3 linked regions of the Pelodiscus sinensis genome follow. The protein of the gene in region 2 interacts with the protein of the main gene of each other region in a pairwise test. Links are inferred from orthologs where the notes say so. Each region holds a gene or a part of one and is shown on either strand. Other genes may lie near its edges.

Region 1 (6,947 bases), on a different chromosome or scaffold from region 2:
TGGAAAGGACTTGAATGACTTCATTCAGGCACAAAACTAGCATATTCCTCCTCATTGTTGACACTGTGCAACACTGCTCTTTGTTGTTAAAGTTTTTAACAAATTCTTACATCTACAAACCAGCTTTGGGATTTACTTAGAAAGTGCGAAAAGACACAGTCACATTGTGTTGCATCTCTATAAGCCCTTTGTTACCGGTCAACAAAGTCTTTAAATGCCCTGCCGAACGGGAATTTTGCCAAACAGCAAACCAGCTACTTGGCCTTATTAAGGGCACCTCCTACTGGTCCTTTCATAGAGTGAATTATGCTTTCTTCACTATCAGTCCCCTGCTAGGTTTCTGAAGAGAGAAAATAGCGACTAAGGAGAGTAGTGGAAACCCAGAGATTAATGAGCAGGGGCCAAAGACACTCGAACAACATTTCCTTAAAGATGCAAGATCTATTTTACTTTGTCAGTGAATCCAGATTGTGAAAGGGGGGCTTAAAACAACCACCTCAAGAAGGATCTATAGGCTAATCACAGGGGAAACTTTGCACAATTCTAGCTTGCAAAGATCAGATCAGGGAACTTGATAAGACACACAAATATATGCCTCCAAAGTATTAGACACATTATAAATAAAGAGTGAAATGCACAACCCAAATGTACAGCTAGGAAACAATTTGCTCCTGTAATGAGTTCTCTGTGTATAATCAGACAACATCATAATCCCACACCACACACACACACACACAAACACACATCATTGAGGCAGTGTGTATCCTCACTCTCCTCCTCTCTCTCTTGCACACATACATACACACACACGGTTGCACACAGGACCCAAATTGCCATATGTCAGCAAAGAGGTCTGCAAGCCAATCATCGTGCCAAAAGGAGGATCACTGAGATGTCTCCCATCTACTATCCTTTAAGTTGGAAATTCAAGAGAGACACCTATTATCCTGCTCTGATTTCCCAAGTCCCACCTTCCATGCAAGTAATTGCAAAGGACATGTATGGGACACACGCACACACACACACAATATGAATCTTCTTGTATTTAGCAGAAAAGCCTTCCCAATTCACTTATTCCCAACCCAAAAAAATCCAAAAATATATATTTGAAAGGAAGCATCATCTATATGAACAATTTAAGGTATTTCTATTTGAATGCAGCTTATATTCTGAATGATACCAGTCTAAGGTAAAGATCTTTTCCCAAAGGCTTTGATATGCAGCACTTTATCACACACACACACACACACACACACACACACACACACACACACACACACACACTCCTGCTTTAGTGGCGTGTGTCTGTGTGTAGGGGGTGGGGGGACCTATCGGTTTCTATTGTTCAGCAGCAGCTGGTGTAGAAGCAATGTGTGTATGTTTATTTTTATTTATTTTTGTTTTCCATGAGTCTCTCTTACTAAGATTTCTCCTAATGAAACACAGCTCGTTTTCTTCTGGAGGAAAAAAAATGATCACTGGAGAATAATATTTTCTCACATGCATTGTACTCTCTCTCACACACACACCCTACAGAGTCACCTACAAATCAAAGCTTCACTTGCTTAGTTTCTAACACTTCTCAATAATACTCCAATTTCCTGATTATATTTTTACAAAATCTCTCTTAATTCCCAGGTCTTCCCTGCCTCTACCACAGGCAGCTCCTGAGCATCACAATATCAATCCCCCCTCTTTCCTTCTGTATCCTAATTCAATACACACACCAGCTTTGCCATTTTTAATCAGAAAATGTGCCTGCCAAGTGCAAAGAGAGCGAGGCAGCCCGAAAGAATATCAATCAAATGGAGTTTGGAGACACTCTGCAAATAACTGCATTTTCCATCTTGCAAACTAATATTTCTCTTTTCATTATTTGCCCGTCCCCTACCATCTGAAAAAATATAAATAAAACTATATATCCCATCTCAGCCTAAAGATAAAAAAAAAAGCTACATGAAAATAAATCCAGTTGAAACAGTGGTCAGGTGCAAAGAGAATACAAACCAGTGTGTACATACACACACACACACACATGCTATCAGCACCTCCTCCCACATTTTTCCTTTATTTTGTGGGGGGTTCTTTCCTTTCAGTTAGTTTTCCTATTTCACAGGCAGCTCAGGGTGCCTCTAAACCAAATTTGATCTCACTCCTTTTCAAATCTACATCAAGTGCCTGCAAATGCCTACACTGATCCACAACAACAACAAAATCAAAAGGAAGGGAAATTCTGATAACACAGACGAGAGAAGCACATTTCTTAGGGTTTGCAAAACTCACCCTTATTCAGGGAGTGCAAAAGACAAATAAGACAGTGATGACTTACCGGTGACTTGAAGATTCAGGCTGATCAGAGAAAACCCGAAGAGTAGAACAGCCAGCTTTGGTACCCAAGCACATCCAAGACTATTCTCCATATTTCAACACACACCTACAGAGATTTGGGTCCTGAGCACCAGCAACAATCACACACACAGCCCCTTTCTGCCGCCTCCTCTTCTGTTTTTTTTTTTTCCTCTAGTCCCCACCGGCAAGGCTCAGCAAAAGGGGGAGTTAGGGGATGCGGAAGGGGAAAAGTTATATTCAGTCCAAGTGCCACCAAACCTCCAGATGATGTTAGGAGAAACTAACTCAAGGAAAAAGGGGGAAAGGTGGGGAACAGTGTTCCCACGGCTGGAAAACCATATATTGAAAAAATACTGCAAAAAAGCAAACCAGAGTGCATCAAAAGATTGGGGGTTGCTCCATTTCCACTGCTGGACAAAGTACAAAATATAGATATGGTCATAAAAATAAAAACAATCAGAAGAATACAAAAGGGGAAAGCTTGTTATTTTCCTCCTTCTTGGCAGATGTTGGTGGGGAGGGAAAGAAGAAGGGGAAAGAAAAGGGGCATGTAACGCTCTCACTTGTTACTGGAGCTGTCCACCAGCAATATGTGAGATGGGAGTTAGAGCTGTAACATCCATTGATCCGAAGAAGTGGAGGGCTGGAAGGGAAAACGTGGAGAGCGGAGAGAAACCAACGGGATCACGGAAAAGATTCCACTGGAAAAAAAAAAAAAAAAAAAAAGCCCTGAGCCCTGCTGCTTCCAGCAGCTGCATGCACTGAATCTACAATATGAATGAGCTGGGATGCCCTCTGTAGGTAGAGCGTGGGAAATAACTTTTCCTCAATGAATCTTTTAAATACAGTGCATGTCCCTGCTTCTGTAGCTAGCTCACCTCCTATCATTGTAAAGCTCCCCAGTTGTGGTTTGCATCGGGTGTTTTGGTTTGTTTCTTCTGTCCTGGGAGTCTGCTCTACAGTGAAAGCTGCTTTTTAAGCTGATCAGCTTTAATTTTTGCATCTCACCACCCTGCCAACTCCAAGAATTCAAAAATCAGGAGTCAGATACCAATCATTATAAGCTAGTCTTTAAAATCATGGGATTTTTTTTAAATGAGTTATTTTCATTTATCTTCTGAAGTTTGAATCTTTAGGGACCAATTTTCCATGTTTTCCTCAACTATCTTGAGGGCAAGAAATTTACTTTTTAAAATGAATGCTGAGACTTCCACAGAACATGACTATGGGAGCTTTATGATAAATACCAAATATTAGGAAGCTTACGATAAACTCATGAGATGGCAACACTGGTCTTATCCTCGTCATATTCTTTTTATTTTGCAATACTCATCCTGTTGTAGGATGTATTAAATGTCCAGTTTTCTCACACTAGTCCACAGCATCTTTAGGCTGCCTTGTTCTTCTTGCTTTTATTTGGCATCCAGCAGAGCAGTGCACTGCCATACTTCATCATCATCATCGGTGGGGATTACAGTTTTGTCCTTCGATACAGTAAGAAAAAAAGGTCACAAAAGTTGCGATAAAGCATGTAGACACTTCTGACTCATAAGGACTCTTACAATAATCAGGATTAAAAACTTACCCTAACTGTAAGGTCAATTGTAAAAAAGTGAATAAAAGTTTACAAAATGCTCCAATCGCATATAATAATAAATGCTGATGGGAAAAGGTGCAAAAAATTTTTTAAAAATCTAGGACCTCTGGACAAGGCAGGGGGATCTGGGATTCTAGAAGGGGTAGGGCCAAGGACGGCCAGCCCTCAGAGCCTCCCGGAGTGTACCACGCCAGTCCCAGGCAACCCTTAGCACTGCCAGGAGCATGGTGTGCACCCCCACAGCCCTTAGTGCTATCCAAAGGATGTAGCACGGTGCTTCGGCAGCAATTTAGAGGATCTGGGACTCTGCCCACTACCACTGCTACTGTGTCAGAAACAGCGTTCAGAGCCCCAAACCCCCTTAAATCACCAGGCTCTGGAGCAACTGCCCCATTCCCCACCCCCCTGTCAGCAAGCCTAGGAGCAGGTCTATACTACTGCTTAAGTAGATCTAATATATGCTGCTCAGGGATGTAATGCAAGTTTCCCTCAAGTGATGCAAGTTTTGTGCTATTCACACCAATGCTGCATCAGTGGGAAACACTCTCGATGAGGTGGAGTCACTAGTCCACGGTACAATGCACCTTCACCAGAAATGCTATAACAGCACAGCTGCATCAGTGCATCTGCGCTGATGTAGCGGTGTAAGGCTTGCCCTAAATGAGTCCAAAACAGAAAGGCCCTCTAATGCAACCCAACAACTGTGCTAAAACCATGCTTGGTAACCAAAAAAAAAAAAATTAAAAAGTGTGACCAAAATGTACGTGTCAGAAATGTGGCCTAGTTGGTGGATTTACCAGTGAGCTAGTGTGCCACAAAAAGAAATTTTAGGGAGCCAAGAGGCATTAGCTGATTGAAAGAAAGGGAAACATGACTGCCACCTCCACTGTTTCCTTGGGATCCACCATGACACTGCTCTACCTTCAATATCTTGATTCTGAGAGATGTTCTGACCAGACCAGGGCAGAGAGGAGGACCCAGTGTCTGTGGCTAAATGGCAAATACCTTCTGGCATGTGTAACCGGCATCCCTCTATCACGTGTCCTTTACATTCTCCACCTTGTTTTATCTGTTTCTTTTCCCTGTTCCTCTCCTCTTAACTTCTGTCTTATAGAAGTCTAACTGGCCAAAGTATTCATGGGATAGCCAAGTTAGTCTGTTAGAGAAAAAAACAACAAATGGTCTGGTAGCACTTTATAGACTAACAAAACATGTAGATGGGATCATGAGCTTTCATGGGCACAGCCCACTTCTTCAGAGAACTCCAGTCATCTGAAGAAGTGGGCTGTGCCCACGAAAGCTCATGATCCCATCTACATGTTTTGTTAGTCTATAAAGTGCTACCAGACCATTTGTTGGGGTTTTTTTGGCCAAAGTATATTTTGCAACGCTGCCGTAAGCCTGTGAACATGGAGAGAACTAAAAGCAACATCTTAAACAAGCACATGCTGGACCAAGTTTGCCAAGTCTTGGAATAACTAGACCATGTCTTGTGCCTGTATTTTTCTAGCAGCAAGGTTGTAAGTAAGAGTTGACATAAAAAACAGAAGTGCCTTTTCTCCCTCTATTTTTTCTACCTTCTTTTGTGTTTGTCTTGTTTTGTCTTCTAGGAAATGGGATCAGACTTTAACAACAACAGCAACAACTCCAACCCATCTTGTCTCTTATCCCCAAAAAGGACAGTTACAACAACATGGCAAAGCAAATGAACTAGCTATATGAAGACATGTGCTTATCAGTGGGGGAGCCTGGATCCCTACTATTACTAGCAGTCTAGTTCAGCTGGTAGCACTGGACTATAGGGACTTGTGTTGAAGACCCACACCAGAATGGGATATATCCATTAATTAAAATTACAATGAACAAAGCTGCAGGGAGGTGTTGTCCTTCAATCTGACATTCGCACATCCCTTTCTGGTGGCTGTTCGTTGAATAGGAGAGCACTTCCTGAGAAGAATAGAGAGCAACCCTCATGTCTTACAAAGTCTTTGCCTGAGTGAAATTCTCATAGGACTCCCAAGTCCCATAGATGAAGGCAGGAACTTCAGATACAACCTTAAAAATCTTTGCTGCAAAATTCTGTCAGTGATGGCTTGTCTGGGTTAGACTTTTCTATCAGCTTTTTCATGAGCTGGGGCTAGTACAGTTTCAGACCTTAATGTTTCTCTTTGTTTGAACAGTTTGTTGATAGGGTGAAATGTAATAACTAACCAGTCTTTAAAAAAAAATGCAGCAATCTATTCCATGATTACTTAGCCCAGGCCAGGACAATAGTAGACCATGCCTGGTGACACCGTGTAGCCCAGAACACAGTCCTCAGTCTCCAAGAGGGGGAGTGTAGGAGCCACAGGATTTGTGGGTGTACAATATGCTCAAAAAGGAATCCACTCAGTGTGTGTTACATCAGAGTTCTGTCTTTTCTCTGTCACAAGCACGACTACTAAAATATATACTCTATGCATCAGTATTGGGGAGAGCCTGGATCTGGAAGACTTCCCATATAATCAATGTATTAAACATTTTATCATGAATTCAAAAATAATATAAAACAGTGGCATTCACCAAAAATTACATCTTAACTTGCTTATGTCCCATTCTGCACTGGAACCTCTCCCATCCAACTTCCACTTTCCATTCCATGAAACCAAGCCAAGTCAAAGCACCTTTCTGTTCTTTCTCCTTTCTCTGTCTGATGCCTTTGACACTGCTGATCATTGAATTCCTTCTTGGTCTTTTCTCTTGGCTTGCATGACCCTATTCTTGCTTGGATCCCTCCCTACCCAACCACCTTATGGACTGAACTGTGTGATAATTTTTCTCTCCCTTTACCTGCTGACATCCTTCAAAACTCCTTCCTTTTCTTCCCTCCTCTCCTCCCACTTTCTTGGGGACTTCTCCCATTCCCATTACTTTAATGCACTCTTTCTGTGGATGATTCACAAATTTACCTCTTTCCCCATCTCTCCAGGCTCATATTTTCATATAATTACATAGCTTCCCA
Region 2 (7,953 bases):
CGGGTGGCCACGTACTCCGTCAGGAAGCCGGTGTGGTCGTGCTCGGGGTCGGCAATGCGAGCCAGCCCAAAGTCACAGATCTGCAGCGGGGAGGAAGGTTAGCTGAGCTGCCCGCCCCCCTGGAGCCCAGGGAACGCAGCAGTGGAGGCAGAGACACAGGGAGGTGTGAAGGGGGATCGGTGGGGGTGGGGCGCAGTGCGGGGGTGTGCGTGCAGCAGGGCTGAGGGCTGGTTGGGGACGGGGTGGGGTGTGACCGAGGGCTGGATGGGGTCAGAGGCATGGTCATGACTGAGGGCTGGTTGGGGGTGTGCAGCCGGGGGCGGGGCCTATGGCTGGTTGGGGGTGGGACACGCCACCAGGGGCGGGGTGGGAGCTGAGAGGGGCGGGGCCGAGGGCGGGCCCACCTTGAGGTCGCACGTGGTGTTTGATGAGCAGGTTGCTGGGCTTGAGGTCGCGGTGCAGCACGTTGGACTGGCCGGGGGCGGGGCGGAGGGGGCAGGGCCGAGGGGCGGGGCTGGGGCGGGCCCACCTTGAGGTCGCACGTGGTGTTGATGAGCAGGTTGCTGGGCTTGAGGTCACGGTGCAGCACGTTGGACTGGCTGGGGGCGGGGCGGAGGGGGCGGGGCCGGGGCGGGGCGGGCGGGGGCCACCTTGAGGTCGCACGTGGTGTTGATGAGCAGGTTGCTGGGCTTGAGGTCGCGGTGCAGCACGTTGGACTGGCCGGGGGCGGGGAGGGGCGGGGCGGAGGGGGCGGGGCGGGCCCACCTTGAGGTCGCACGGTGGTGTTGATGAGCAGGTTGCTGGGCTTGAGGTCGCGGTGCAGCACGTTGGACTGGCCGGGGGCGGGGCGGAGGGGGCAGGGCCGAGGGGCGGGGCCGGGGCGGGCCCACCTTGAGGTCGCACGTGGTGTTGATGAGCAGGTTGCTGGGCTTGAGGTCACGGTGCAGCACGTTGGACTGGCCGGGGGGCGGGGCGGAGGGGGCGGGGCCGAGGGGCGGGGCCGGGGCGGGGCCACCTTGAGGTCGCACGTGGTGTTGATGAGCAGGTTGCTGGGCTTGAGGTCACGGTGCAGCACGTTGGACTGGCCGGGGGCGGGGCGGGGCCGAGGGGGCGGGGCCGAGGCGGGCCCACCTTGAGGTCGCACGTGGTGTTGATGAGCAGGTTGCTGGGCTTGAGGTCGCGGTGCAGCACGTTGGACTGGCCGGGGGCGGGGGCCGAGGGGCGGGGGCGGGGCCGAGGGGCGGGGCGGGCCCACCTTGAGGTCGCACGTGGTGTTGATGAGCAGGTTGCTGGGCTTGAGGTCGCGGTGCAGCACGTTGGACTGGCCGGGGGCGGGGCGGAGGGGGCGGGGCCGAGGGGCGGGGGCGGGGGCGGGGCGGGCCCACCTTGAGGTCGCACGTGGTGTTGATGAGCAGGTTGCTGGGCTTGAGGTCGCGGTGCAGCACGTTGGACTGGCCGGGGGCGGGGCGGAGGGGGCAGGGCCGAGGGGCGGGGCCGGGGCGGGCCCACCTTGAGGTCGCACGTGGTGTTGATGAGCAGGTTGCTGGGCTTGAGGTCACGGTGCAGCACGTTGGACTGGCCGGGGGCGGGGCGGAGGGGGCGGGGCCGAGGGGCGGGGCCGGGGCGGGCCCACCTTGAGGTCGCACGTGGTGTTGATGAGCAGGTTGCTGGGCTTGAGGTCGCGGTGCAGCACGTTGGACTGGCCGGGGGCGGGGCGGGGGCGGGGCGGGGGCGGGGCCGAGGGGCGGGGCGGGCCCACCTTGAGGTCGCACGTGGTGTTGATGAGCAGGTTGCTGGGCTTGAGGTCGCGGTGCAGCACGTTGGACTGGCCGGGGGCGGGGCCGAGGGGCGGGGCCGGGGCGGGCCCACCTTGAGGTCGCACGTGGTGTTGATGAGCAGGTTGCTGGGCTTGAGGTCGCGGTGCAGCACGTTGGACTGGCCGGGGGCGGGGAGGGGCGGGGCGGAGGGGCGGGGCCGAGGGGCGGGGCGGGCCCACCTTGAGGTCGCACGTGGTGTTGATGAGCAGGTTGCTGGGCTTGAGGTCGCGGTGCAGCACGTTGGACTGGCCGGGGGCGGGGCCGAGGGGGCGGGGGCGGGGGCGGGGCGGGCCCACCTTGAGGTCGCACGTGGTGTTGATGAGCAGGTTGCTGGGCTTGAGGTCGCGGTGCAGCACGTTGGACTGGCCGGGGGCGGGGCGGGGCCGAGGGGGCGGGGGCGGGGCGGGGCCGAGGGGGCGGGGCGGGCCCACCTTGAGGTCGCACGTGGTGTTGATGAGCAGGTTGCTGGGCTTGAGGTCGCGGTGCAGCACGTTGGCCGAGTGGATGTACTTGAGGCCGCGCAGGATCTGGTACAGGAAGTAGCAGATGTGGTCGTTGCTCAGCTGCTGCGTCTTCAGCAGCTTGTACAGGTCGGTCTCCATCAGGTCCTGCACGATGTAGCTGGGGGCGGGGTCAAGGGGCACAACGGCCGCGGGGCGGGGCGCGCGCGGGGGGCGGGGCGCGCGGGCGCGCGCAGGGGCCGGCGCGGGCGCGCGCAGGGGCGGGGCAGGATACACGTCGCGCATGTGCTCGATGGCGGCGGCGCGCAGCACGTCGTTGATGCCGATGATGTTCTCGTGGCGGAAGCGCAGCAGGATCTTGATCTCGCGCAGCGTGCGCTGGCAGTACGTCTGGTGCTCGAACGGGCTGATCTTCTTGATGGCCGCGCGCGCCTTGCTCACGTGGTCGTAGGCGGAGCTGCGGGGACGGGAGGGGCGGGGTTAGCGCCGCGCCCCGCAGCCCCGGGGGGGGGGGCCCGGGCGGCGGGGGGGCGCTCACCAGACCATGCCGTACGCCCCCTCCCCGATGTACTGCAGGTCCGTGTAGCGCGGCCCCACGTCGAACACCTGCCCCTTCACCGACTCCACCCCCAGCTTGGGCGCCCCCGGCACCGGCCCGGGCCCCCCCGGGGCCGCCGCTGTCGCCGCCGCCATGGCCGCTGCGCTCCGATCCCGCTGCCGCAGCCGCACCCGGAACCGCCCCGCCCGACGGCTCTGCGCAGGCGCACGGGCTGCCCGACGGCCCGCGTCACGTCGCCGCCATCCGCTACGCGCCCGGATTGGAGCGCTGCTTCTGACGTCATCGAAAGGCGGAAGTGCTGTGCCCTGTCATTCGCTTCTGCCGCTTTAGGCCCCGCCCCCAGACCCAGTCTACGGTACTAGGCCACGCCCTCGCTCGAGGAGCTCCTCTCCGACCACGCCCACTGTTCCACCTGGCCACGCCCCTGCCCACGCCGGCACCTTGCCGGGTGTTCCCCGGCCCCCCCCCCCAGCCTCAGGGCCCCCCGGGTCTGATTCCCCGGCCCCTCCCCCCCCCCCCAGCCTCAGGGCCCCCCGGGTCTGATTCCCCGGCCCCTCCCCCCCCCCAGCCTCAGGGCCCCCCGGGTCTGATTCCCCGGCCCCTCCCCCCCCCCAGCCTCAGGCCCCCCGGGTCTGATTCCCCGGCCCCTCCCCCCCCCGCAGCCTCAGGGCCCCCCGGGTCTGATTCCCCGGCCCCTCCCCCCCCCCCAGCCTCAGGGCCCCCCGGGTCTGATTCCCCGGCCCCTCCCCCCCCAGCCTCAAGGCCCCCCGGGTCTGATTCCCCGGCCCCTCCCCCCCCCCCAGCCTCAGGGCCCCCGGGTCTGATTCCCCGGCCCCCCCCCCAGCCTCAGGGCCCCCCGGGTCTGATTCCCCGGCCCCTCCCCCCCCCAGCCTCAGGGCCCCCCGGGTTTGATTCCCCGGCCCCTCCCCCCCCAGCCTCAAGGCCCCCCGGGTCTGATTCCCCGGCCCCTCCCCCCCCCCCAGCCTCAGGGCCCCCCGGGTCTGATTTCCCAACACCCCCCAGCCTCAGCCCCGGGGCTGGTGGGGGGTAGTTAGGGGTCCCAAGCAGGGCATGGGGGACAGGTGGGGGGGTGCAAGGGGATGCTGGTGAGGGGTAGTTAGGGGTCCCAGGCAGGGCATGGGGGACAGGTGGGGGGGTGGAAGGGGATGCTGGTGAGGGGTAGTTAGGGGTCCGAGGCAGGGCATGGGGGACAGGTGGGGGGGTGGAAGGGGATGCTGGTGAGGGGTAGTTAGGGGTCCGAGGCAGGGCATGGGGGACAGGTGGGGGGGTGGAAGGGGATGCTGGTGACGGGTAGTTAGGGGTCCCAGGCAGGGCATGGGGGACAGGTGGGGGGGTGGAAGGGGATGCTGGTGAGGGGTAGTTAGGGGTCCGAGGCAGGGCATGGGGGACAGGTGGGGGGGTGGAAGGGGATGCTGGTGAGGGGTAGTTAGGGGTCCCAGGCAGGGCATGGGGGACAGATGGGGGGGTGCAAGGGAATGCTGGTGAGGGGTAGTTAGGGGTCCCAGGCAGGGCATGGGGGACAGGTGGGGGGGTGGAAGGGGATGCTGGTGAGGGGGAGTTAGGGGTCCCAGGCAGGGCATGGGGGACAGGTGGGGGGGGTGCAAGGGAATGCTGGTGAGGGGTAGTTAGGGGTCCCAGGCAGGGCATGGGGCACAGGTGGGGGGGTGGAAGGGGATGCTGGTGAGGGGTAGTTAGGGGTCCCAGGCAGGGCATGGGGGACAGGTGGGGGGGTGGAAGGGGATGCTGGTGGGGGGTAGTTAGGGGTCCCAGGCAGGGCATGGGGGACAGGTGGGGGGGTGGAAGGGGATGCTGGTGAGGGGTAGTTAGGGGTCCCAGGCAGGGCATGGGGGACTGGTGGGGGGGTGGAAGGGGATGCTGGTGGGGGGTAGTTAGGGGTCCCAGGCAGGGCATGGGGGACTGGTGGGGGGGTGGAAGGGGATGCTGGTGGGGGGTAGTTAGGGGTCCCAGGCAGGGCATGGGGGACAGGTGGGGGGGTGGAAGGGGATGCTGGTGGGGGGTAGTTAGGGGTCCCAGGCAGGGCATGGGGGACTGGTGGGGGGTAGTTAGGGGTCCCAGGCAGGGCATGGGGGACTGGTGGGGGGGTGGAAGGGGATGCTGGTGGGGGGTAGTTAGGGGTCCCAGGCAGGGCATGGGGGACTGGTGGGGGGGTAAGGGGATGCTGGGGGGACACGTGGGGGTGTAAGGGGGTGGAGGTGGGAGGGTGTATCTAGGTGAGCCGAGACAGGGCATGGGGAGATGGGTGTGTGTAAGGGGATGCAGGTGGGGGGGAGCTAAATGGGCCCAAGCAGGGCACGGGGGGACAGGCGGGGGGTGGGGTCCCTGTGCCCAGGCTCATACCCCTCTGCCACTGGCAGCGGATTCCCGCCCAGCCCCTGGCTGGGAAGTGGGAGGGAGTGTCCTGGCCCCTCCCCCCCCAGGCTGTGCTATCCCTGGGAGGCCCCACCCCCACCCTTAAAAGGTGCTGGTTTCAGCCTCCAGATTCACTGTCACACCAGAGTGCCTGGAACTGGTGAGAGCAGAGGCAGTGGGGTCTGATGGTTAGAGCGGGGGGGGGGGGGGGAGCCAGGACTCCTGGGTTCTTGCCCTGGGCAGGGCAGTGGGATCTGATGGTTAGAGCGGGGCGGGGGGGAGCCAGGACTCCTGGGTTCTGGCCCTGGGCAGGGCAGTGGGATCTGATGGTTAGAGCGGGGCGGGGGGGAGCCAGGACTCCTGGGTTCTGGCCCTGGGCAGGGCAGTGGGGTCTGATGGTTAGAGCGGGGGGGGGGAGGGGGAAGCCAGGCTCCTGGGTTCTTGCTCTGGCCGGTGGGTGGGAGGGAGGGAGGTCCTGGGCCCTCTCGGCTGACCCTTCCCGTCTCTGCAGAGTGATGCTGCTACACCCAGTTACCTACAGGTAGAGCCAGGGCAGCAGCCAGGCAGAGGGTGGTGGGGCAGGAGCAAGGGATAGCGGCAGGGTGGGAGAGAGGGGCAATGGCCGGGCTGGAGTGAGGGGCAGCGACGGGGTGGCAGGGCAGCTGGGCTGGAGTGAGGGGCAGAGTGGTGGCGGGGCTGGAGTGAGGGGCAGCGGCCGGGCAGGGGGATGGGGGGGGTGGGAGCGAGGGGCGGCGGCCGGGCAGGGGGCGGCGGGCGCGAGGGGCGGTGGCCGGGCAGGGGGCGGCGGCCGGGCAGGCGGCGGCGGCGGGCGCGAGGGGCGGCGGCCGGGCAGGCGACGGCGGGCGCGAGGGGCGGCGGCCGGGCAGGGGGCGGCGGCCGGGCAGGCGACGGCGGGGCGCGAGGGGCGGCGGCCGGGCAGGGGGCGGCGGCGGGCGCGAGGGGCGGCGGCCGGGCAGGCGGCGGCGGGCGCGAGGGGCGGCGGCCGGGCAGGCGGCGGCGGGCGCGAGGGGCGGCGGCCGGGCAGGCGGCGGCGGGCGCGAGGGCAGCACTAACGGCGCGTCTCCCCCAGCCGCCATGAGCCGGCAGGTGGTGCGCAGCAGCAAGTTCCGCCACGTCTTCGGGCAGCCGGCGAAGGCCGACCAGTCCTACGACGACGTGCGCGTCTCGCAGACCACCTGGGACAGCGGCTTCTGCACCGTCAACCCCAAGTTCCTGGCCATTGTCGTGGAGGCCAGTGGGGGAGGGGCCTTCATGGTGCTGCCCCTGGCTAAGGTAACCCCGCCCCCATCCCTGCTAGTGACCCCCTCCCCCCTCTGCCGGCCCAGCCCTGCCGGGGCCCCTCGCCAGCCCCGCCCTGCGCTTCTTAGGTAACTGTCTGCCCCCCCCTTTCTGTTTCCGGGGGGGGGGGGGGGGGCTGTTTTGTGAAACCGCCGAACATGCAGATCTTGACATTTTTGCCTTAAATGGCTCCAAACGTGAAGCGGGGGCGGAAGCAGCCGTGTAAAAGGGGAAGTGGGTTTGCGGGGAGGGGGCAGGTCTGGGACACCACAGCCCAGCCCCCCGTCCTGGTTCTCGGAGCCGTGGCAGCCACACCTGGGTCACCGTAGCCAGGAGCCCCAGAAATGGAGCAGGGGCGGGGGCGCCGGGGGAATAAAGGTCTGTGGTGCAGCTACAAAGGGCCCTGTGTCCTTCCCTGGCCCGGGGGGAGGCCGGGGCAGGATGCGGCTTTGGAGGGACCCTCGGCTCCCAGAACGCGGCACCTTGTGACTTCCATCGTGATGGGAAAGACGGGAGCAGAGCGCCTCAGCCCCTCCCCCTCCGTCCCACTCCCCACACCCGCCCCCCAGCCCCTGCCGGTCCAGCTCTGCCCCCAGCGCCCCCCACTGCAGCCCCTGCCCCCCCAGTGCCCCCCAGTGCCCCCTTTGCACAATGCCCGGGTAAGGTTGTCATGGGACTGCTGGGTTCGTGGGCCCAACTTTCCCCGTGGCAGGACCATGGGACGAGGCGGGAGGGGCGTGAGGGGAGAGCCAGGCCTGAGGCTGGTGCCCAGGAGGGCTGAGGCAGGCCCGGCCCCCGCCCTGCTGCCAGACTGCCCTGCTCTCAGGTTGGCTGCCCACTGGGGGGAGGGGCTCATGTCGCCTGCTGTGGGCACTGCAGGGGCACGGGAGCTGGGTTGCTTGTCACAGCCTGGCCCTGCCCCAGGCCCCAGGCCCCTGGCCCCTGGGAAATATCCCCAGCACTGGGGAGAGGCAGAGAGCTGCGGGTTCTACTCCCTACAAACATTTACCCCCCTCCGAGCTGGGAGAGAACCTAGGCTGCCCGCTAACCCCTGCGCCCCACTGCCCTCCCGGCCCTGCTGTAACCCCTGCGCCCCACTGCCCTCCCGGCCCTGCTGTAACCGCTGCACCCCACTGCCCTCCCGGCCCTGCTGTAACCGCTGCGCCCCACTGCCCTCCCGGCCCTGCTGTAACCACTGCACCCCACTGCCCTCCCGGCCCTGCTGTAACCGCTGCACCCCACTGCCCTCCCGGCCCTGCTGTAACCGCTGCGCCCCACTGCCCTCCCGGCCCTGCTGTAACCACTGCACCCCACTGCCCTCCCGGCCCTGCTGTAACCGCTGCACCCCACTGCCCTCCCGGCCCTGCTGTAACCGCTGCACCCCACTGCCCTCCCGGCCCTGCTGTAACCACTGCACCCCACTGCC
Region 3 (7,149 bases), on a different chromosome or scaffold from region 2:
TCAGCCAGGCTCTTTTAGAGGGGCACTCGGGGGGGGGGGGGGGGTTCAGCTAAGCCAGGCTGTACCCTGGGCATGGTTAGCCCGGACCCTGGGGGGAATGAACAGAAGCGCCCTTGAAGCACAGGACCACCCCCCTCCACTGACCTTCTGTGCCCAGTAATAGACCGATTCGGGGTTGTTCATTTCCTTGCCCAGCCGTGCGATCATCTTGGACGGGGTCCACTTCACCCCCTGCAGGGCCCAAGGGCCAAAGCTGCAGTGAAAGCGCCCCCCTGCAGTGACCCGAGCCCTGCCCTGCCCCCCAGCTCAGAGACTTGGGGCCCGCGGGGCGTTATCAACGTTAAGGTGCCCACCCTCACAGCTCCCCACCTGGCAGCTCTCCCCATTATGGTGCAGATGGGGAAACCGAGTCACAGAGGGATGTGCCTCACCCAAGGTATAAGACCCAAGAGTCCTGATTCCTGGTGTCCCACCCACCCACCTTCTGCTCAACCCACTGGACACCCCCCCTCCCCTACACTCCATTCCCAGAGCCCAGGAGCCCTGACTCCCAGCCCCCTTCCTCCACCCATCTGCACATGCCAGGTATTTTGGCAGGGGGTTGAGTAGGGATCAGGTCAGAGACCTTCCCAGTGTCCTACAGCCGCAGCCCCTCCCCCCCCCGCCCTCACCTCCATGTTCTGCTCGGCGACCATCTGGTCCAGGATGGGCATAAGCCAGTCTTCGAACTTGCAGTAGTTGTCGTTGGGCACCAGCAGGTTCCCGATCCTGGAGACAGGAGCAGGTTCATCCCCAGCCCTCCCCCCCCCCAGCCCAGCTGGGCTCAGCCCCTCCTCCCACCCCAAGGAACAGGGACACCACTGGCATTTCCTGATCCCCAGGGGGGGGGGGCACAAAGAGGATCATGGCTGGATGGATCCAGGGGCTGAGAACAAATACAGCGTCTTTCACTTCTAGAGCATCATTTCCTGAGCCCAGCCTCCCCCTCTCATTCCTGGGCCCCACTCCCAGAGCAGGGACAGAACCCAGGAGAGTCCTGGCTCCCCTGCTCTAACCACTAGACTGCACTCTCCTCCTAAAGCACTGACAAGGCCTGACTCCTAGTCCCCCGTGACTCTAACCACTAGCCACTATTCTCCCCCAAATCAGGAGTCCTGCCTCCCAGCTGTTACCCCAGCCCCGCCTGTACCTGTTGATCCCGCTCTCCCGAAGCTCCTTCCCTTGCAGGCTGAACTCCCCCACGTAGGTCGGAGCCAGGCATTTGATGAGATCTTCTTCCACGCCACCCGCTGTCGTGACCAACACGTCCACCTGCATGGCACAGGGACCCCAGCCTGTCAGAACCCCACCCCAGGGAGCCCTCCCACTGTTCATCAGGTGGGAGAGCCCAGCTCTGTGGTGGGTGAAGGGAATGGGGGGGCCATGACAGCAGCCTGGGTGGCAGAGCCTGACACATACGGGGGCACCTCTGGATGCAGGTGCTTAGTGTCAAGAGGGCACAGAGGGACACGGGAGCAGGGCTCAGCACCTGGAGGGGGCAGGGGCCTTACCATGTTGTGCTGCACCAGGTAGCGGATGGTCTCGCGGATGCCGGAGCTGATGAGATTGGAAGTGAAGCCCAGGAAGATGGTGCAGCCTGAGGGCTGCCGGCGGCAGGGGTTCAGGTCTGCACGGGTCTCCTCCTCCTCCCCCAGAGGCTCCAGCTTCGCCGCGATCTGGGAACCAGAGCAGCCCCACATCAGCAGGGCCATCCCTATCCATGCTGATGCCCTACACAGCCCTGCACTGAGGGGACTGTGGGGGCAGGGGGAGGGCTGCCAGTTCTCCCAGACCGAACGTCACTGCTGCAAATGAGTCTGGTTGGGAGAGCTGGCAGCCCTAGGCAGGGTGGGGGAGACGCAGGGGCATGGGCCCGGGGAGCAAAGAACAGCCACACAGCCGCTTCTCTCCAGCTGTTGGCTACCCACCCTACAGGGGCCTGGCTGGGGAATGGGACCCGAGCTGCCACAGAGCCACGGGCTAGGGGGCTGGCCAGCCAGGGGAGGGGGCTGCTACAGCCCATATGCAGCACCCAGCTGCATGGGCACCGTGCAATTTGGTGCCCCACTCAGCTGGGTGTTCTGCGTATTGGCAGAGACGGGCCTGCCCGGCTGCTGGGTCGGGGAGCGCAGACGCCCAGGCCACCGGCCCCCACCCAGGTCTCTGGCCTCGCAGCGGGGAAGTGACCTGCCTGCGGCGAGCGACACGGAGCCCCGGAGTCCTGGCGCCCCCGCGCCCCCCCGCTCACCATCCTGTTGATCTCCTGCACCGCCTGCCCGAAGCTGGTGGCCTGGAAGCCGGTGGTGAGGTAGGACTGGAGCAGCGCCCGGTGATCCAGCCCGCGCCCGAAGTCGTAGCCCCGCACCCGCAGGCTCTCCTCGGGCAGGACGGCGCTGGGCTTCAGCACGGCCGCCACCGCCGCGGCGGGGAACCCCTCAGCCGCGCTCTCCATGGGGCCTGCGGAGACGGGCCGGGGTCAGCCCCCCCACGAACCCCCCCCAGCCCCCTCCGCGAACCTCCCCACGAAACCCCCCCAGCCACCCCTCCCCCCGCGAGCCCCACCAACCTCCCCACGACCCCCCCCGAGAACCCCCCCAACCCCCCCCCGCGAGCCCCCCCAACCTCACCACGAAACCCCCCCGAGCCCCCCCAAACTCCCCACGAACCCCCCCAACCCCCTCCGCGAACCTCCCCACGAAACCCCCCCCAGCGAGCCCCCCCAAACTCCACACGAACCCCCCCACGGAACCCTCCGCCCCCACAAAACCCGCCCGCCCGCCCGCCCGCTCGCTCGCTCGCTCCCTCCCTCCAGGCCCCGCCCGGCTCCTACCTGCGCCTCAGAGCCCTTCTCGCCCCGCTGTCGCGCTCCTGGCCGCCGCCATGTTCAGCCCGGCCGGCTACGGCAGCCCCGCGGGGTCAGGACCGCGTCCGTACGCCTGGGCGCCGCCATGTTGCCCCTCGAGCGCCGCCGCGCGGGAACCGTATGCGTGGGCGTCGCCATCTTGAATAGAAGCCACGTACGGGAGCCCTGCAGGGTCAAGTGTCCTCCGACCCAAGAGCCCAGCACCTACGCCAGGCCCCTTCAAACACCAGCCTGTCCGAGCCGAGCCAGCCCCGCACTGGACCCCGGGCGGGGATGGATCCGGAATCGATTAACCGATAAGCGAAAGCACGTCGGTTAACGCTATAGAGACCACCCGCCTTCCCCCGCGTCGTCCTGCAGCGGGGAGTTCCGCTGGTGCGGGACTGGCAGGGCCCCCTCTTCACCCAACCTACAGCCCATGGGGGCGAGACCGGCGTCCTGGCTGCCCACCTCAGATCTCCCCACCTCCCCCTGCTCCCCAGCATCACACAGGCCTGAAAAGGTGCAGCTGCTGCTCCCGTGGGGAGTCCCATCCCCGAGACCCCCGCCCAGGGCAGCTGGTCCATGCGGGTGGAGGGGGGGTTCCAGCCCTGCAGCAGCCCAGGGCGCACACAGAGTTCAGCCTGTTCTGGCCTCCAGCCCGTTCACAGGACGGATTAGAGGGAGCCGTCCTGCAGGGAGCACTAATTGCCCAGGAGGTGGAAGCTAAATCGGGCCGGCATGTTCCTTTCACAGGTGACTGGGCCCGGCAGGGGGCCCAGCAGAAAAACAGATACTGCCTGGGACAGCTGTGAAGTCAGCTCTGCAATAGGGAGGCAGTAGGTGCCTGACCCCTTCCTCCATTCCAGGATGGGGCACCCTGCTGACAGCTCTGGAAGGACAGTGGAGAGTAGGGGGCAGAGCAAGGACGTGAGCAGCAAGCACTCACACTCCAGGGCCTCCCCAAGACAGGAGGAGAATCCAGGAGTCCCAAATTCCCAGAATGCCCCTGCTCTAGCCACTAGACCCTACTTCCCCCTTCCAGGACAGGCGTTAGGAAGCAGGACCCCTATGTTCTGGACCCATCTCTAGGAAGGCCTCCCTTGCTCTAACCACTAGTCCCCACTTCCTTCCCAGAGAGGGGACCCCAGAAGTCCTGGCTCCCACCCCTTGCTCCAACCACTAGTCCCTGTTCCCCAGCCCACCCTCTGACTTTGCTCACCTGCCTTTTGACCACCCCCCCCAGGTCTCCAAGGCAGGCACTAGGACAGGGGTCAGGCCAGGATCTCCCCCTGTACGGCAATCCTTCATCAGCTCCAGGCATATGCAAGGGTGGGGGGAAGGAACCAGGCCATGTGTCCACAGCAAAGGGCCAGCCTGGGATTGTTCTGGGTCCCAAAGAAACCATCCCTCAGGGACTGCAGGGAACTTCAGTGCTGGGCCAGGCTGGCAGCTGGCAAACCCTCATGGGAGAAGAGCACGAAGGGCAGAAGTGAAGCCTCAGTTACCCATTCTGTTCTCAACCCCCCCTCGGGTGGAAGGAGGATGCCCACGTCTGCACAGGGAGTCAGTGGCAGCCTGGAACAGTCGCTGCAGTGCCCCCGTGCCTCAGTTTCCCCACCCATATTTCCCAGGAGGGGTGCTGGGAAGCAGAGGGTTACTACAATGCGAGGGCAGACAGACATACAGCCCCGCACTGCAGGGACCCCAGTTAGCCACAGCAGCCGGTTCTGCTGGGGAAGGGGCCTGCCCCAGCCAGCTCGTTGTGCACAGGCAGGAAGGGCCTCAGGGATTGGGCCAGAACCCGAAACCTCACACTGTGTTTGTCCAAACGGCCCCGGGTGGCGCAGGGACCCTCTCACTGGCGTCAGTGAAACGCTCACGGCCCTGTTCACAGCCCAGCCCCACCCCCCAATAAAGCCTCCATAGCCCATTCCCCCAGTGCTTCACTCTGGCTCTTGCAATTCCTGTGGGGAGGCAGGGAGAGGAGAAAGCCGCCGTGTCTGGAGCTCCCAGGAGACCAGGATGGAATTTCCAACACGGCGTGCCTGTGACTGCACCGGGAAGGGGATAACGAACCCACCAAGCGCTCTACTCGGCTCCAGTCTGGCAGAATATTTTAATCAACAACATAAGCACGTGGGTCAAACTTAGTCCCGTTAGGTTACACAGCCAGTCGATCAGCCCCTGCCTCTGCCTTCCTCAGCCCTTAGCAGCAAGCGCCCCCCGACGGCGCCGTCCAGCGGACTGACCCCTCACTCCCAGCCCCACCTGCACTGTGACCCCAGAGGCCTTTGGAACAGGTCCCGAAGGAGCAGCCAGGGCCCATGCACCGTGGCAGGTAGATCAGTAGCAAAGGCTGCCTGGGAATCAGGCCAGGGTTCAGCCAGCTAAGAAGCCCAGAGCAGGAGGGGAAGAACGTGAGCCAGAGAGCTAAGGCAGTGCACCTGGCGGGGGAAGGCTGGCCGGGCTCCCACCCCTCTGGGAACAGCAAGGCCAGGGTGAGCTCAGGCAGCGAAACTTCGACCTCGCGGCTCCTCGGGCCTCTTCCAAAGAACAAGGAACAAATGACCGACGAACGGGCGCCGGAACTCTGGCCCCCCGGCCGGCAGTCGGGCGCCGGGCGCAGCACCTCCCCCGGCAACACACGGCTCCGCAGATCCAGGCCTCCATCAGGCGTTGAGCCTCCAGATTTCCAAGGACAGGCCCCCGGAAGCAGCTACCACAATGTTGCCTTCCGCGCTGATCTGGGGGGAAGGGGGAGAGGGGGTGTGAACAGGCACCGGGGACTGAGGCCACGTCAATCCAGGATCCCGGGGCGCCGGCTCCAGGGTTCCTGCTACGTACACCCTGCCCCCGCTCCGAGTTTAGCCACAAGGTGTCCTAGTGCTCAGCATGGCTGCGGGGCCCTCCCGTGTGTGCAAGGAGAAGGGAGCGCTCCCCCGGGCGGAGCTGAGTGGCCGTGGGCCCAGGCCACAGGAAGGAAGCCAGGACGGGACGTGTCAGCCAGGTGTGGCTTGGGGAGAGTGCAGGGACGGGGATTCCCCCCGGCTAGAGCACAGCACGCAAGGTGGCTGGGCGCTCAATGCCCAGACACTCTTGTCCTCCCCGATTCCGAGGCCCGGGGCTGCCTTACCCCGTTCAGCACGTTGTTGTGTGTCCGTGTGCAGACAGTGCGAGGCGGGTCCGTGGGAACGTGTATCTGGAAAGAGACGACTTGTGGGGAGGTTGCACAGAGCTTAGTGAGTCTCAGAGGAGCCTCTCCGTGTGCTGTTTTGGGGGGGGCACTGGTACTTTGGTGTCAGCACTAGGGGGTTTGCATTGGTGCAGCTACCCCAGGACAAGGGCCGGCTACCAAGGGCCCAAGACACCTTCAGAGCCCTGCAGGAAGCAGGTATCACCCCTTCCCGTGTCCCCTGGAAGCTGAGCCCTGGGACAGCTGCCCAGGTGACACCCAGCTGGTGAGCAGAGCGCCCACAGCTGGCAGCCTGTGGCTTTTTGGGTGGTGCACATCGGCATGTGCCTCTGCATTTGTAACATTTATTCTGCACACAGATGGAAAAACGAGAGGGGCCACTGCCCCTACCCCCTGGTGGGGAAACTGAGGCACAGAGCAGGGATGTAACTTGTAGCCAGCGTCCCAAGGCTGGGGTTAGGACTCAGGCATTCCTGGCTCCCATGAGTGGTGGAGAAGGGCCGCTAGGCAAGCCTGGATCTTACCCGCAGGCTCTTGTCGGTGGAGGTCGTGTACAGCGTGCCCAGGGAGTGCCAGACCCCAGTGATCTGGGACCGGTGACCCACGTTGAAGTACTGTGGGGAGGAAGGAGACCATGAGCCCCCTGCAAGCCCCATCAGGGGTGAAAGCCATGGCCTGCCTGTTCCAAACCCACATGGATCCCAGCATCTCTCTGTTCCTAACCCGTCTCCTCCATGCCAGGGACTCTCCGCATCCCAACCTCAACCCTCCAGGTCCCTCTCCAAAGTGGTTCTGAGGGTGGCAGCTCGTACCTCACCAGGTATTCATGTGGACACATCGCCACAGTGTCTGAGCTGTCACGATCCCCCTCCCCCCCGTGAGGTACTACCATGCTAACAGGGAACCGAGACAAATGGGGGCTAAAGGCACAAAAAGTCTGGCCAGGTCAGCTCCTTCCCACTGTGCCATCAGCTGCCATCTCAGCGGAGGGGAGGGAGGGGGGTCAAGGAGCATTGAGACCCCTTCCCCTGCCCTCCAGGACATGGGGACCCGAGACCCAGCCAGCACGGGG

Evidence for each region.
Region 1: the proteins of MAPK3 (region 2) and DCC interact in a two-hybrid assay, tested with the Homo sapiens proteins (2 studies listed by BioGRID). The link is inferred for Pelodiscus sinensis from reciprocal best matches to the Homo sapiens genes MAPK3 and DCC.
Region 3: the proteins of MAPK3 (region 2) and DHPS interact in binary tests that used the Homo sapiens proteins (3 or more experiments, as listed by UniProt). The link is inferred for Pelodiscus sinensis from reciprocal best matches to the Homo sapiens genes MAPK3 and DHPS.

What each region holds. Positions count from the first base shown.
Region 1 is NC_134716.1:114,104,026-114,110,972, forward strand, and holds the start of DCC (netrin receptor DCC), read right to left. Parts: upstream 3,041-6,947; 5' UTR 2,421-3,040; coding exon 2,330-2,420; intron 1-2,329. UniProt on the Homo sapiens protein: Receptor for netrin required for axon guidance. Mediates axon attraction of neuronal growth cones in the developing nervous system upon ligand binding. Its association with UNC5 proteins may trigger signaling for axon repulsion.
Region 2 is NW_027465967.1:94,694-102,646, forward strand, and holds the start of MAPK3 (mitogen-activated protein kinase 3), read right to left. Parts: upstream 3,079-7,953; 5' UTR 2,972-3,078; coding exon 2,817-2,971; intron 2,736-2,816; coding exon 2,553-2,735; intron 2,439-2,552; coding exon 2,249-2,438; intron 81-2,248; coding exon 1-80. Other genes in the region: CORO1A (coronin-1A), read left to right, coding at 6,324-6,521.
Region 3 is NC_134729.1:13,363,937-13,371,085, reverse strand, and holds the start of DHPS (deoxyhypusine synthase), read right to left. Parts: upstream 3,027-7,149; 5' UTR 2,870-3,026; intron 2,497-2,869; 5' UTR 2,492-2,496; coding exon 2,288-2,491; intron 1,716-2,287; coding exon 1,551-1,715; intron 1,312-1,550; coding exon 1,190-1,311; intron 769-1,189; coding exon 672-768; intron 232-671; coding exon 145-231; intron 1-144. Other genes in the region: FBXW9 (F-box/WD repeat-containing protein 9), read right to left, coding at 5,554-5,628, 6,018-6,083, 6,602-6,691. UniProt on the Homo sapiens protein: Catalyzes the NAD-dependent oxidative cleavage of spermidine and the subsequent transfer of the butylamine moiety of spermidine to the epsilon-amino group of a critical lysine residue of the eIF-5A precursor protein to form the intermediate deoxyhypusine residue.